2 linked regions of the Macaca fascicularis genome follow. The protein of the gene in region 2 interacts with the protein of the main gene of each other region in a biochemical or structural test. Links are inferred from orthologs where the notes say so. Each region holds a gene or a part of one and is shown on either strand. Other genes may lie near its edges. The genes, in order: UBR1 and UBE2B.

The links.
Region 1: the proteins of UBE2B (region 2) and UBR1 form a complex in vitro, tested with the Homo sapiens proteins (2 studies listed by BioGRID and IntAct, with this or other methods). The link is inferred for Macaca fascicularis from reciprocal best matches to the Homo sapiens genes UBE2B and UBR1.

Annotation. Positions count from the first base shown.
Region 1 is NC_088381.1:19,608,847-19,612,665, forward strand, and holds part of UBR1 (E3 ubiquitin-protein ligase UBR1), read right to left. Parts: intron 3,526-3,819; coding exon 3,432-3,525; exon of another isoform or gene 3,362-3,431; intron 2,298-3,361; coding exon 2,148-2,297; intron 1-2,147. UniProt on the Homo sapiens protein: E3 ubiquitin-protein ligase which is a component of the N-end rule pathway. Recognizes and binds proteins bearing specific N-terminal residues that are destabilizing according to the N-end rule, leading to their ubiquitination and subsequent degradation.
Region 2 is NC_088380.1:140,910,961-140,914,879, reverse strand, and holds the start of UBE2B (ubiquitin-conjugating enzyme E2 B), read right to left. Parts: upstream 2,884-3,919; 5' UTR 2,755-2,883; coding exon 2,711-2,754; intron 582-2,710; coding exon 501-581; intron 1-500. UniProt on the Homo sapiens protein: E2 ubiquitin-conjugating enzyme that accepts ubiquitin from the ubiquitin-activating enzyme E1 and transfers it to a E3 ubiquitin-protein ligase. In vitro catalyzes 'Lys-11'-, as well as 'Lys-48'- and 'Lys-63'-linked polyubiquitination.

The sequences.
Region 1 (3,819 bases), on a different chromosome or scaffold from region 2:
TGTGCAAAAAAGGCTTGTACAAGAAGTTGGAAAGTCACTTTATTACGATTTCCTTTATCTTTGTCTTCTGCTGTACAGTTAGGTAAGGCTTTGGAGTCAGGAGTCAGGTCTGGGTTTGAATCTTAGATCTGTCTTAGGACAAATAAAAACTATCCATAGTCTCCAATTCCTTTAAATGGAAATAATAGTACCTACTTCACTAGACTACTGTGAGAATTAAATAAGATAATAAGATAATGCAGCATTTGCTTTGCAGAATGCCTAAAATATATTAATTACTCAAATCAAGGATAATTCTTTCTCATGTTACCAAATATGTTGAAGAAGACAATTTGAATTTAGGTGTATCAATGACATGGAATAGTAGAGATCAGAACAACTCTTTATTTATTTATTTATTTATTTATTTATTTATTTTTGACGAGAGTGTCGCTCTGTTGCCCAGGCTGGAGTGCAAAGGCATGGTATCGGCTCACTGCAACCTCCGCCTCCCGGGTTCAAGCAATTCTCATGTCTCAGCCTCCCGAGTAGCTGGGATTACACGCATGTGCCACCACGCCAGGTTAATTTTTGTATTTTTAGTAGAGACGGAGTTTTGCCATATTGGCCAGGCTTGTCTCAAACTCCTGATCTCAGGTGATCTGCCTGCCTCAGCCTCTCAAAGTGCTGGGATTACAGGTGTGAGGCACTGTGCCCAGCCAAGGTTAGAGCAATTCTTTTTTTTTTTGAGACAGAGCCAGGCTGTAATGCAATGGCTAGATCTCGGCTCACTATAACCGCAGCCTCCCAGGTTCAAGCGATTCTCCTTGGCTCAGCCTCCCAAGTAGCTGGGATTATAGGCACCCACTACCACACCCAACTACTTTTTTTGTATTTTAGTAGAGACGGGTTTTACTATGTTGGCCAGGCTGGGCTCAAACTCCTGACCTCGTGATTCGCCCACCTCAGCCTCCCAAAGTGCTGGGATTACAGATGTAAGCCACCACGTCCCGCCGGAACAACTCTTTATATTGACCCTTCTCGCCAAACCTATCACCTTTGAACTTTTATGGGGACATAAAGGTATTTTTATCAACAAAACAATTTTCTGTAGCAGAATTCAGGTTTCTCATTATAAATTCATTGCATTTTAAAGCAACTGAAATAATATAAATATTATAGTACTGTCATCCTCATGTAGAACAGTGAGAATATAGAAATATATAATTAAATTTCCAAGTTGTCATACAAAAACTAATAATTTGCTGTTAAATTCCATTTACAGATCAGAATATAAAAATTTAAAAACTCAGAATATAAAATATATAAAATATATCAGAATATACAAATTTAAAAGAGATATCTATAAAATGATATATATATATTATATATATAAAATGAATCTAGTGTTTTTGTTTAATTTTTTTAGTTAACATTTGTCCACATCTCTAGAGCTATAGCATTTGGATCTTCAGAAAAATGAAATTAAAAATAATACAAGGATCATTCGAGCTATCAGACTCCAACTGGCAAATCTAATGATGGCAAAGGGCCATATGAAAGGAATGAATTTTTTTTGCATCTTTTCTCCTTTTGTGAGTGCTAAGGCAGAGTTCAGAGTTCTATTGCTTTAATGGCTGCTGGAAAATATAACCACAATATATAGATTCAAGTAAATAAACATTATAGTTCTCTGAGAGTCCAAAAAAATTAGGCTTTTGATCACATTTTAAAAGTATAACACAAGATATAAAATGAAAAAGTATTAATTCCTTTGAAGAATAAAAAAGTTATCTAACAAAAACAGGCACAAATTAAAGAACTAAAGACAACTTTCTATTTGTTTTTGAGACAGGGTCTCACTCTGTCACTCAGGCTGGAGTGCAGTGGCGCAATCTCGGCTCACTGGAGCTTCAATCTCCTGGGCTCTAGTGATTCTGCCACCTCAGCCCGCTCAAGTAACTGGGTCTACAGGCATGTGCCACCACGCCTGGCTAACTTATTATTATTATTATTTTTTGTAGAGATGGGGTTTTACCGTGTTACCCAGGCTGGTCTCGAACCCCTGAGCTCTGGCAATCCACCCACCTCGGTCTCCCAAAGTGCAAGGATCACAGGCCACTGCACCTGGCCAACTTTTTAAAAATTAACCAAAACATAAAATATACCTGTTTATCTTTTGAGGTTGCAAAGGAATAATGGGGATCACAGTATTGCACAGAGATTTGCAAAGAGGGCAAAGATATTCTCCACTTTCCAAGTCAAAAAGGTCAACATGAATGCGCTGCTGAGAGCTCAGCTGTACAGCTTCAAAATATCTGCAAAATTACAAAGATACAGGCCCATTTAGAACTACACATGCATCTCTATATGTGTATCTCTACTTGCTCTAATCCAAGTTTTAAAAATCTAGAATTTTTGCCTCAATAAACATCTTTAGAACATACATGCAAAAACACACAAGTTGTAATCATAGAAGAAAGAGGTTGCCTATTATTTTGGGAATAAATTGGAAAATATATCAGAGCAGATATAAATTTTAAATAAGTTTATTGAATCATAACTCATCTCTTGCCTCAAAAGCATGGTGATACAGCATGGACACTACTTTCCTCAGTTTCTAATGATGAACTGAAGTAGTGAGGGCTATCTTGGAAAAATTATATATTGTAATCTAATGCCAAATGGGTAAACTCTACACAAAAGATTTCTCAGGAATTACATTTTTGAATTTTTGTAGTTTCCAGAGATAGAATGAGAACTTCTTGTCCTATTCATCCTATTCTATTTCAAAGGTACTTTTCACAGCAGTATGTTTTGAGGGAAATTAGATTTTTATAAAGATTACTTACTTATTATTTATTTGTTGTACTTATTAATTTTTTTGAGACTACGTTTCGCTCTTGTCTCCCAGGCTGGAGTGCAATGGCGCAATCTCGGCTCACTGGAACCTCCACCTCCCGGGTTCAAGCGATTCTCTCCTGCCTCAGCCTCTTGACTAGCTGGGATTACAGACATGTGCCACCACACTCAGCTAATTTTTGTATTTTTAGTAGAGACAGGGTTTTACCATGTTGGCCAGGCTGGTCTCAAACTCCTGACCTCAGGTTATCCTCCCACCTCGGCCTCCCAAAGTGCTAAGATTACAGGTGTGAGCCACCACGCCCAGCCAATCATTACTTTTTTTACATGAATACTGATGAAGAGCAACTGATTAGTTTATGGAGAGCAAGCACAAAGGAACAGTGAAAATCTAAAGTTGGTAACTTTACACACCACTTTCCAACTTTGATAATAATAATTCATGCAAACAGAATTAGTAATTAAAACTGTTTCAGTCATTCAAAGAAGAAGAAAGGAAAGAAGACATGAGAAAACATGCCTTTTTGTGGCCTTGAGTGAACTTCAATGTTCCTAGTCTCTTTCAAGAACATGTCAGAAGGACAACTTACTTCTGCCAGCACACTGCATGCATTACATGACCACAGCTTCCTGTGTAAGTTCCATATGCCAAGTCTGGATCCATGAAAAGTGGGTCTAGGGTTTCTGGTACAAGGCATAAAAAGGAGGGAAAAAGAAAGACAGGTTATCAGGTCTAAAGTCTAATCACAAACTGTCTTAGGAATGTCCAAGCAAAGTGTCACAATATCATAATAGGATATATAGTAACAAAAAAAGTAATAGTAACAAAAGAGAAAAGCATAAAGCTAACCTGTCAGATATGATTCTAAACTCTATCTTTGATTTACTTTTTAACCTTGAATATTGGGTTTAATCTGCATTATCTTGGTTATTTAAATGATTTTCTATGTTTCCAATATAATTTACTTTTTTAATTTT
Region 2 (3,919 bases):
AACCATATGTAATAACATCAAAGAGCAAATAAACTTTGTATAACTGCTGAAACTTTTTCCCTTTTTTTTTTTTTTTTTGGATAGCTGGCTGCAGCCTCAAACTTCTGGGCTCAAGTGATCCTCCTGCCTCGGCCTTCCAAGTAGCTGGGCACCACCATGCCCAGTTAGTTTTATACTTTTTGTAGAGACAAGGTCTCTCACTATGTTGCCCAGACTGGGCCAAAACTCTTTTTTTGGTGGAGAGGGGACAGAGTCTCACTGTCTCACTATATCGCCCAGGCTGGTGATGAACTCCTGGGCTCCAGCGATCCTCCCAGGCGTTGAGCTACTGTGCTGGGCCAAAACTCTAATTGAAAAAAATTTTTTTCTAATTTATCTTGCAGTTTTAGTCCTTAAGATCTCTCATTCTACCTCAGTTTCTTTTCCTAGACAGTTGTTATATGTTCACTTTTCTTAAAGATTCAGCACACACCTATTATTTGTTAAACCTTTCAACTCACCCAAATATAACTGCATTCCACTGCATGATGTTGTTTTCAGATGGTGCACCACTGACACCCACAGGTGGGTCCTCTTGTAACCTAGAAATCCAGCGTTGTAATTTAAAAAGTTGAACATTAAGGCCACTAAGGAGGCCACATAAACACCTACAGACACTACACCATCTATTTTGAGACACAGACTAACTCCATTTCCTTGTTATTGTGAACTAAAATGAACCATATGACTTAGATATATTAACCAGGTATATATACTTATTAAATACCTCTCCAAATTACCTAAAAATCCGAAGGGCTTGAGAATCATCCCTCTTTCAATATTATCAAGAGTATCTCTTCAAGAATTGATGTATATAGACTGTCCTCTTATACCAAAAAAAGTTTAAAACCTCAAAAGCAAGTAATATTTTTACAGAACCATTGATTTTGCTGCTCTAAACATGCAAAGACTGTGTATCCTAACCACGGCTACTTCTGCAAAATGGCTACAAGAAAAAAAAAAAAAGCAAACCTCAGTGTAAACACGAAATGACTGAAAACACATTAAATTTAACTAGGAAACTAGTATTAGGCAGCAGATTTACTCTATCCCTTTTGCTTCAAACAGCAATGGCTTTAAAAAGTAATCAGTAGGTTTTCCGCCAGTCCCTATTTTAAAGGCTCTGCACTAACATCAAATCTACCTCTCAAATCAGGAGACTCAATACAAGGCTTTCCCACATTCGTCATAGTCAAATTCTTGTAACCTATAGATCTCTGGAAAACTACAAAAGGTGCCATGTATTCAACTCAGAATTAAGCAGAGCATTACAGTAAGGAGCCAGGGCGACAATGACATGAACTAGTTTACTATCTGAATTTTAGTCATGAGTGCTAATCAGATACACTGATTTCAAGCTTTAGAAAAATGACTTTTGCACCAAAAAGGGCATCTCCTTTCAGAGACTGTAACCTCAATTAAAAATGCTACATTATACACACTCACAAATACATATGGAGTTGTTTTCATGGGGCATCATAATTTGCAACTAGTCCACATAAAAAAAAAGGTTTTTAGTCAATCTCAAGCAAATTAGGCCACCACAAACAGAAGCCTTAGAGGAACTGCACTGCTTGACGCCTACCTTTAAATGGCTAAGAGAAGCTACGAATGAATTAAATAAGTTGGCCAAATCCAAATGCCTCACATAGGCTTTATAATAGCTGAGAGGTGACTTCCTGAGCGACAAATCTATGTTTTTATGCTATTTTGTTCAATTAGGGTAGGTGTCCCCAGAAAAAATTTTAAGAAAAATGTGCAGAATATCAAAATGTTTTCTCACTTATTTTGTTTTTTCTACGTTATTTTGTTTTTTCTACGTCTCTAAGTATCCAATAAAAGGTAAACTAACGGAATAATCATTTTCTTCCTCACAACCCCAATACCTCCTAACAAAACCCTATTTTATTTACCAAAGAAGGCCCAGGGAGTATCAAATTAGCGCCAGTCTAAGGGAAGGCATTTTTCCAGACTCGGGAGGCTATAGATAGGGCTTTCTTCACCAGCCAGATCTGAGTTCCAGAAGGCACTGGCAGCCGGGGTGGCCAGCTCTAAGGTCCCAGATCTCTAAGTCAGTTCCCAAGGTCTTTTCAGGCGGGCGGGGACAGAGTCGGGTTTCGGGGGATGGGTTAACCTCCGAGCCTCACGCACTGGACCCCACCCTCACGGCAGAAATGGAAAGGACTGGCGAGGGTGGGGGGCTGGGGAGGTTCACCCCAACCCGGCTCCTCGGAGAAGACTGAGGGGCCGTGAAACAAAGCTGACTGGTGCTGCCGGAGAAGAACAAGCTCCCGCGGGAGCTCACTTTGAGGGGACAAGAAAGGGTCTCCGCAGGGTGCAGGGGCGGGAGGATGATGTCTGATCCCCGTCTGATCCCCTGGACGAGACCCCGGGCAGCTGGCCGAAATGGGCAGCGGGGAACCCTAGACCAGTCGATCGACATCGTTTTACTTTTTGGGGGGAGGGGAAGCAGTATCGAAATTTCTTCGGGCGCCAGAGCGAGCGGCAAGGATAAGGAGAGTAGGGGCCGAGGTAGGACCCGGCTTCCGCCAGTCCCCCTGGGCCCACAGCCGGCCCTCTGAGGGTCACAAGGGGAAGGTGTCCGGGATCCACGCCCTGCAGCCCCGCAGCTTTGAGAGGCCGTCATCTATGCGAAGCTGAAGGCCCTTACCGCTTGAAATCCCGCATAAGCCTCCTTCGGGCCGGGGTCGACATGCTCCGCAGCTGCCCCGCGGTCAGTCTGAAAGAAAAGAGTCCCGCGCAGCCCCCCCACCCCCCGGCGCGGCGGCCGAATCACTGTGGATCGCCGCTGCCGCCGCCGCCGCCGCCGCCGCCGCCAAGACTGACAAACAACCCTGCAATGACGTCTCCCTCCGCCGCCTCCGGATCCCTCCGCCCTCCGCCGCTACCACAGAGTGAGTGCTGGGGGAGGAGGGGGCGGGACGGGGGAGCGCGCGTTCCCTGAGCCCTTCAGCGGGGCGTGGTTCTTCCTGGGCTTCCTGAAGTGATCGACAAATTTGTGTTCTCTGTGTTCAGACTAGAGGTTGTGGATTCAGAGACCACGAAACCGACACACTATCCTGTCTGCCTCCCCGTCTCTAGTTTAGGCTCGGCGGGGTGGAGAAAGAAGGACGTATCCGGGCCAGGGATTTCAGGGAAAGGAGGTGGGATGATGTAAGATCACGTGACTGCCCGCGGCCTTGTCAACAATCCACCCCTGAGGGGGAGGGGGAGAAGTATCTAGAACCACGTGTCCCTGTGACGCGTTTAGAACGGGTCACGTGAGAGCCTCGCCTGGATGTGAGTTTCGGCCAGGTCTGTGAAGCGGGTCTAAGAGGGTGAGGGCTGGATACACCTTTATTAGTTGTTTTCGGTTTATCACAGGTATAGAGACATTACCCAAGAGGTCGTGGGAGGATCAACAGCTTGTTTTGTTTTCTTTAAACCGGGACCAAAAATAACTCCCCTCTGGTTGGTTCAGTGGCTTATGAACTCTGGTACTTGGGGCAAGAAGAGAGAGGATCGCAAGATCTTCTAAGGCAGCATTGAATACTGAGGGCCACACAACAATCTCCTGAAATGGTTCCTTGAAGCTACCAAATAGTCTTTCTGCTTTGCAGTGGGGTTTCTAGTATTGGAAATTCTGGGCAAACATTAAAGGATGGTGTATTATGCAGTTTTTCCTTTCTGGGTCTGCTTTCAATTGAAGATATGTGTCAGAGTCCGGGGACTTGCCTATGGGGGGGAGTACCATTGTATTTTTAAGAATGTGGGGGTGCAGTCTTCCAAGCATATCAATGAGTGGTTGGTTGTCAAAGAAACCTACAAATATGATTCATATGTGGGGGAGAGCTCCAGCAGACCTGAGTGAGGGTTATCT